Linked DNA regions of Rattus norvegicus. Each later gene encodes a partner of the first gene's protein in a complex. Links are inferred from orthologs where the notes say so. Each region holds a gene or a part of one and is shown on either strand. Other genes may lie near its edges.

Region 1 (3,813 bases):
GGGATTTCCATTAACAGTGGTGGGCAACATTGTTTAGCTTTGGCATCTTCCTCAGTGTCCTCTGCAGAGAGCCAATGACAAACAGGAAAATGATACACACTGTGAATGCTAGAGATTTATTTATTCATAGTGAATAAACAGAAATGCATTAACTTTCATAAGGGATCTATTCAGTGAAGTTTAGAATTCATCTGTAGTTATAGGCACATAATTTGGCTTTCTGTGGTACTTGTTCCGAGAGGTAAAGAGGGTGTGACTGATCTCACGAATCTGAAATGAAACATCAGGTCCCATACCTACCATACGTTCTCCAACATTCCTTAACCTAACCTCACTGTTCTGGAAGTCCTCATTTGCTTCTTCACTCTCTGGTCTGTTGTGGGGCTGACTGGATTTCACACTTTCCTTGTGGCTCTCAACCAGACTACCAATGAAGACGTGAGTCAACCTTCTCTCCCTGCTCTGTATCCTTCTTTCCACCGCCAGTTTCCTTATTACCTGCTAGGAAAGCAAGCATGTGTCCAGGGCCTGGAAGGATGAGACAAATGGGGGAAAAAAGACGTGGATTTGGGAGGTGGTTAAATAAAAGGCAGACAGCCTTTTTTGGAGTGGAATGCCGTAAAACATTAGGAAGAGGTTGAAAAATTGGATAGACATGTCTTTTGACTAGGTATGGGTACTTAAAGACTAGTCAAGGGGTTGGGGATTTAGCTCAGTGGTAGAGCGCTTGCTAGCGCAAGGCCCTGGGTTCGGTCCCCAGCTCCGAAAAAAAGAAGAAGAAGAAGAAGAAAAAAAAAAGACTAGTCAAAGCCCTAGTGTGATTGAACACTCCTATTCGCTTGCTAGAGAGACTGAAACAGGAAGATGTCAAGGGGAAGGCTGTTCTGAGCTGTGTAGTGACAAAGAGACTTGCTTGACTGACATAGCTAGACCTAGTTTCAGAGCAGGCAATCAACAAGATCAAAAAGGGTAGTTGGTGCTTCTAAATTTGGAATGGAGAAGGATAAATGCATCAAATAAATATTTACTTTTAAGGAACTGCCAATTCATGTTCATTATGGATAATGAGAAAATAGAGTTGAAGAAATGAATAAATGCCTGTAACCTTACCTTCTACCTATTGCTTTTTTTTTTCTTTTTTCTTTTTTTTTTTTGGAGCTGGGGACCGAACCCAGGGCCTTGCGCTTGCTAGGCAAGCGCTCTACCACTGAGCTAAATCCCCAACCCCACTACCTATCGCTTTTGTTAATGACATGATTTATAGTCTTCTAAACTTGTGTAGGTTTGATCTCATTTGTTTCCATATACACTATAGTTTAAATTTCATTTTTATTTAACGATTTTTAGTACAATATATTTTGGCCATATTTTTCTCTTCCCTCAACTTATCCCAGATCTTCCCCACCTCCATATCCACCTGACTTCATAGTCTTTTTTTCTTAAAAGAAAGAAAAAAATCAAAAACCCCAAAATTCTAGACCAAAAGTAAAACAAAACAAAAGGCACACTCCCATAGCTCGCAAAACAAAACACAGAATCTGTTTGTGAGTCCAACCAACTCCTGGGCATGGGTGGGGCCTACCCTGGAGTGTGGTTCTTATATCCAAGGACACTCCACTGGGGAGGACGGACCTTTCCTTTCCCTGCAGGCATCAATTGTAAATAGCTTCTTGGTTCCTGGTAGAACTTAGAGTTCTATCCTTTCTCTGTGCTGGCATTTTGTGCAGGTCTTGTGGTGCTGTCACGGTCCCTGTGAGTTCATATGTACACTGTATTTTAAGATAAAAATAGAACATGTACATTTGTGGGTTTTTTACTCTTATATTTTCATGTTCAACTATTTCTTTTGCAAACTAGATTTATTAATCTGTGCACATGTGCACACACAACTGCACTGTGGAATATCAGAGGACACTTTGGTTCTCTCCTTTTATCCTGTGGGTCTTGATGACAACCTGTCAGGCTTGGTGGCAAATAAATGCCTTTTTTTTAAATCCACTGAACTCTCTCCCTGGCCCCTATTTTCTTTTCATTAATTTTGTTTAAAAATGTATACGCCATACAGCATCCATACCATCTCAACCATTTACAATTTTTTTCTTAATTTATTTTTGTGGGATTTTGAGACTACTCTGTGGACTAGGTTGCCCTAGCACCCAGAATCCCATCCTTGGCCTCCCAAGTTCTAGGCTTCCAGGGTGTGTGACACCTTTAACTGTTTTGAGTGTACAGGGCAGTGACATGTAGTGCATTCAGTTTATTGTGTAATTATTGCCTCTTGCACTTCTTCATTAGCCCATACTGCCCGTGTTTCTACAGCAGACTTTTTCAATGTAAGCCTTGGCTCGTATCTTGCAGATCAAAGGATCGTGGACAGGGAAGAACCGTGTGCAGAATCCGTACAGTCATGGAAACATTGTGAAGAACTGCTGTGAAGTGCTTTGTGGCCCCTTGCCCCCAAGGTACTCAAGTAACAGTAATGCCTTGGACGCTCAAACCCATCCCCTTGCCTGCTCTGCTGCATTCTTCTGCATGGAACTTCCTGATATCAACTAAGTCTTCCTAGGAGTTGTCACATGGCACCATATCTACATGAGCCATAAAACCATGGGCTGGCTGTATTGTTTGTTTGTTCCCTGATTAATGTGACATCCTCCAGTTTGTGGAAGAGTAAATGGAGGACAGATGTGTGCTGGGGTCAGGACACATTGCTGAAGGCATGTTTGTGCTTTCTGATGTACAGACCAAGGTTCAGGGGGGACTGAGCTGATAGACAAGTGCATGTCAAGTCTTTGATTCGTTCTTCTGTTTCTGTCAGTGTCCTGGATCGGAGGGGTATTTTGCCACTGGAGGAAAGTGGAAGTCGACCTCCAAGTACTCAAGAGACCAGCAGTAGCCTCTTGCCACAGAGCCCAGTAAGTGTCGCTGTGTAGGTGATAAGAGACCCTGTAGGCCCACTAGACAGCTTCAAAATATAACTGCGATTTTGTATCCTGATTTCTTCAGCTTCCCTGTCTCTGATTATGTCCTGATACCACTTTCAGATCAGTGTACCCTTGACACAGATGAAGATTTACTCATTCCTTAGACACGTATTGATCAGTTATTTGGTGCCAACTACTTTCATAGGTGCTAGGGCTACACCAGCTAGCAAACTGAATGAAGTCCTGCTGGGAGAGCATTTCCTGTTGGGTGGACATGAGGGAGAAGAAACCAGAGCATCACTGTGTGTGTGGCAAGTAGCTTGATTAGGGAAACCTAAAAGGGGCCAAGCTGTGGACAGAGGAGCATGTTAGGTCGGTTAGTGATATACTTACATTGGTATACTGTACATGTAAGCATTCTCCCAGGCACCTAGGGCAAGATATATTTCACAAAATATGTTCCTAAAAATTTGAAATTTCCTTCTAAGACCTTTATTGAGATACAACGTAAATACCATACGATGCCTGTTTAAAATATGCAGTTCCTTAGTAAATGCTTATATGATTGTCACAATTAAATAAAAAAAATTCCTTATCCTCTGTGTTAAGAAACCTTGTATAACTCCCTCCTCACCAAGATACCGTGTGTGTGTGTGTGTGTGTGTGTGTGTGTGTGTGTGTGTTATGGTATGGTATAGGGATGGATCCCAGGGCCTCATACATGCTAGGCAAGCACTCTACCAATGAGGTCCCCAGGCCCCCTGGCATAATACTTCAATGCTGATCTGTGTTATATGTGGCAGTACTTCATTCCTTTATATAGCAGACTCATATCCTCTCACACGGATACACCATGTTTTATCTGTCCATTCACCGTTTCCACATTTTG
Region 2 (4,312 bases), on another chromosome or scaffold:
CCAACATGATGATAATGGACTGAACCTCAAAACCTCTAAGACACCCCCAATTAAATATTGTCCTTAATAAGAGCTGCCTTGCTCAAGGTGTCTCTTCACAACAATGGAAACCCTGAGACAGTAAGTGAATGAATAAATGGGGAATGTCAAACAAATGAAATTACAAATGGCACAACAGAGGAATCTCAAAATAATCTATATAATAAGAACGAGACCAAAAACTCTGATTCAATTTAAGGAAAATGCAAATTTATTTCCAGTGACAGAAAGGTTAGTGCTGGGCAAAGAGGTCTGCTGAATGACTAAAAAGGATGACTGTAAAGAATAAGGAAGGTTTTAGAGGCAGTGATAATTATCTTGATTGCACTGATGGTTTAAGGGCAAACTGTTAGCAAACTGTGTCCACATTAAGTGACTGGGTTTACGATACACCCTTTTCTGGGACAAAGTTATCCACTTTTGAGACAGGGTCTCACTATGTCAACCCGGCTGGCCTGGAACTATTTAAGTAAACTGGGGTGGCCTTGAACTCAGAGATCACCAGGGAGTGGGCCAGCCTCTACCCAACCCCGATGCTGGGATTTTTAAATGCTATTTTTAAAACCCCGAGAAATCAATTGTCAGTGATAATTGATCAAGTATCCGTGATATTAAAAAGTTGTATTAGAACATCACCACCAGGCGTGGATAGGGATTTTCTGGATGTCTTGCAAAGACAGGGTCAGTAAAGTAGGGAACCAATGAGAGAACTGTAGATACAGTCTGGTCACCTACGCAGGTATAGCTGATGTACATACGTCTCTGGGATGAAAAAAGCCAACGGCTCAGAACAAGAATATTATTCACCTCCCTCCCGCACAAGAGGGTACCAGGGTCCAGACGCACCCCCGGTAGCGCGCTTTGTAGTTGTAAATATAGGTGAACAGTCTGGGTTTAAGGGATTTGGAGAGTGGCGATTGTTTTTGTGGAGGGAGGTGCTGTAGCCCACAGGAAAACTTGAACGCATAGTCAAGAAAGGAAACACTCCTATGATCAGAAACCACTTCCCCACAGCTAACAGAATACGAGTCTCTAACCCCGGAGTCTTTCCAGGAACTCCCGATACACCGATCATATCCATATCCACCTCTTATTCTTCTTCCGCCCGGAAGGGCTTCACCCGCCTACACTAGGAAGACTTCTGTCCCAGCTACCGCGCACCTCTCCGCAGCGCGCAGCCTCGGAGGTATCCTTTACGGCCGGAGGGGGCGGGGTATAAATGAGTGGCGCAGAATGAGTTTAGGAGAGGCAAGGCTTTTTGCGACAGGACGTAAGTGACGACGAACGTGGTGCGACAGCTGCTGGAGGGCTGAGGAGGCGGGTTTGTGTTAACAGGGCCGAACCAGGATGTCGGGGGGCGCGGGTCCTGGGCTTGGGTAGCTGGAGGCTCTCAGCTACAGCCATGAGTGAAGGGGATCGGCGAGGGGGAGGTCTTGGGCATCTTTGGGCGGTGGGTGGCTCCGAAGGGCAGGCGGGCCCGAGAGCCGGCTCTAGGCCGGCAATCTGACCTGTGTCTTGCCCGAACTCGCAGAGCGGCGGGTCCTGTCCTCGCCATGAGGCCGCAGCAGGCGCCGGTGTCCGGGAAGGTCTTCATTCAGCGAGACTACAGCAGTGGCACCCGCTGCCAGTTCCAGACCAAGTTCCCCGCGGAGCTGGAGAACAGGGTACGCAGCCTGGATCCCTGCCCCCGCCCCTGGGGAGTGTAGAGTCCCTGGAGCGGGAGGGAGTGTCCCACAGTTCTGGAGATCAGGAGGCCTTCAGATCCATAGCAGAAGGTCTACGAAGAAGTTACGGTCTAGTATTTAGAGAAAGACTGCTAAGGCTAGTAATGCTCAGAGTGCAGTGGTCTTATAGAACTTTGGGATGCACGCTACCCCTCAGTCCACCCAAGAGTGTCCTTAACAGGACACCGACACATAAACGTACACACACTCAAACATACAGACACGGTTATTGACACCTTATTGAGGTGCACACACATACTCAGTTATTGACATCTTGATGAGGTGCTAATTCCTGGAACTCCGGGCTGCCTCATAACCTCCTGTGGTAGTCTATATCCTCAAAAGACAGCGTCATCGTTCTCATGACTGATATTTGTGGTCACTGTGCTGATCATGATGTTCAGCTGAAAGGGTTTATTAGTGACGTGCTTGGTAGTCCAGACAGGCCTTCTTGGAACCTGAAAAACGTACATTGGCTGGGACAGGTTGTAGCTGAACCAACCCTGCACTCAGTCATAATCAGTGAGAGCTTCCTGTTTGCCTTGCATATCAAAACGGTCACGGGCACAGGTCCTTTGGACAACCTTGTAAACAAAGACGGGATTTGTTTACCATTCCTTCGGATTTAACAACACCAGAAATCTACCTGTGTGCGTGTGTTCTTGTGTGTTCTTGTGTGTTCTTGTGCGTTCTTGTGCCTAGCCCGTGTGATTCTTTTGTTCTTTGGCCGTATTAGTCAGATTCTGTTTGCTGTTCATAAGTCAGTTTCTAGAAACTGAGCCAGGAGGATGAGGAACTTTGAGGTAATTAAGCGTGGTGTGGGTGTGGGGCTAAGAAATGCTGGTTGTGGAGTAGGTGGGTGGAGATGAGTGTGTACCAGAGAAATGTGTACCAGCCATTTAAAATCAGATTGGTGGTTCGTAGGCTGGGTGTGTAGCTTAACGCAAAGAGCCTGTTCTTTCCAGGTTGAAGGCCCAGGGATCTATCCCCAGCATTAAATATTTAGTCAGGACTACTCCCAGCTACTAGGGAGTCGAAGGCAGGAAGATTGAATGTTCAAGGCCAACCTAGGCAACTTGAAAATGCCATGCTCTAAAGTGGCTTGGGAAGGGTGGGAATCCTGAACCTTATTTCAGTGGTAGACCACTTGTCCACCGCTTCCATTCCCAGCACTGACTGTTAGGGCTGAAAAATCACTGATTCATTACCTTGCCCTTAAGTTTGATTTATGCCATAGGCAAGTTAATGGCACAGTTGCCTTTCTCGAACTGCCAATTAAAGATCCAAGAAGCTTTGAAAAGATACTGTGTAAATAGTGTGTGGTTGTGGACACTTGTAATCTGGAACCCGAGGGCCAGAGGGAGGAGGATTCTGAGTTGTAAGCCAGTGTGAACTGCATAGCAAGACCGTTGTCTCTGGGGCTGCAGAGATGACTCAGGGGTTAGGAGCACTGGCTGCTCTCCCAGAGGTCCTGAGTTCAAGTCCCAGCAACCACATGGTAGCTCACAACCGTCTGTAATGGGATCCGATGCCCTCTTGCCTCAGGGAGAGTGAGGAGGGAGAGGATAGCAGGTTTTGGTTGCCTTGTTTGTGACTCGTCATTTAAAGGCCTCTAATGGTTTATAAGTCAGAGTTCTTTGTTGAGCCAGTACACATATATGCGACATCAGGCATTAGCCTTTCATCCTGTGTGGTAGAACCTTTCCTTAATAATCTTAGCTTAAGAAAACCAGATGTAGTCACACAGACCTTTACAGGAAATTGATGTTGCTAAATTCTGCCATCCAAAAGTGGTACTTCATTGACTTGATAAACCGCAGAATTGCTTGTGGTACTGACCACTGTGTGGCATGTGCCTTTGACTATTTTAGTGTCGAGTTAAACACTTGCTGTAAACCACTTGGAAAAGCTTTATGTGTGTGTGTGTTGATTATACATTTAAGTTTCCTTGATTTTGTGTGATGAAGTTGAAAGGCCTCTTTATTTCTCTGCTAACCTAGAAAGACTGGTGATTGTGCTGGCCTGCTGGTAGGCCTGGCTTTCATTCTGAGGGAATATCACACTCGCCAGTGTGCTAGAGAAAGGAACTAATGCACAAGTGTCTCATGTTACATTATACTTAAAAATCCTTGCGAGCTGTTTGAGAGCCCCGAATTCTGTCAGCTGAGCAGTCACTCCCCTGCCTGTTACAGTGTGATGCTTCGATGCCTGAGAGCCCAGCTGCCTCAGTAGTTCTTCAGGTGAACCTGTGTTGTCCTTTTAGCCAACATGTAAGTGTTGTAGTCACCCTTGGTGGTCTTCTGAGAAGAGAAACTACAAATGGACGGCAGTAGACACACATTCTACTTATCTGGTCAGCAGAAGTAACCTTTGACTTGGCGTTGCACTTGCGATCACTGTGGGCTTCAGCAGTGTGCATTTCAACAACAAGACTTCTATCTAAAGACCTTTGGAAAGCTGATGACTGTCTTACTGTGCTTAGACATAGCAGATGTTAAAAACTCCTGAATTTGTTCTTTGGAGCTTAAGTCCAGTTGTGTCACTTGATA

Evidence for each region.
Region 2: the proteins of Zdhhc9 (region 1) and Golga7 are in contact, whole or in part, in a cryo-EM structure (PDB 8HF3), measured with the Homo sapiens proteins. The link is inferred for Rattus norvegicus from reciprocal best matches to the Homo sapiens genes ZDHHC9 and GOLGA7. Residues at the interface, in NP_001008223.1 of Homo sapiens: Phe78, Ala81, Arg85, Ile94, Pro95, Leu98, Asp100, Glu101, Phe104, Ile105, Phe129, Gln130, Ile131, Asn132, Ile146, Pro149, Pro150, Arg182, Tyr183, Leu186, Tyr274, Lys281, Cys284, Glu285, Leu287, Cys288, Gly289, Pro290, Leu291, Pro292; in NP_001002296.1 of Homo sapiens: Lys11, Phe13, Gln15, Tyr18, Ser19, Ser20, Gly21, Thr22, Ala57, Glu58, Leu60, Ser64, Tyr65, Gly68, Cys72, Ala75, Tyr76, Thr77, Phe79, Leu80, Tyr86, Glu87, Leu90, Ile116, Arg118, Gly119, Arg121, Val122.

Annotation. Positions count from the first base shown.
Region 1 is NC_086039.1:132,234,899-132,238,711, reverse strand, and holds part of Zdhhc9 (palmitoyltransferase ZDHHC9), read left to right. Parts: intron 1-335; coding exon 336-438; intron 439-2,358; coding exon 2,359-2,462; intron 2,463-2,818; coding exon 2,819-2,915; intron 2,916-3,813. UniProt on the Homo sapiens protein: Palmitoyltransferase that catalyzes the addition of palmitate onto various protein substrates, such as ADRB2, GSDMD, HRAS, NRAS and CGAS. The ZDHHC9-GOLGA7 complex is a palmitoyltransferase specific for HRAS and NRAS.
Region 2 is NC_086034.1:75,468,534-75,472,845, forward strand, and holds the start of Golga7 (golgin subfamily A member 7), read left to right. Parts: upstream 1-1,375; 5' UTR 1,376-1,592; coding exon 1,593-1,703; intron 1,704-4,312. UniProt on the Homo sapiens protein: May be involved in protein transport from Golgi to cell surface. The ZDHHC9-GOLGA7 complex is a palmitoyltransferase specific for HRAS and NRAS.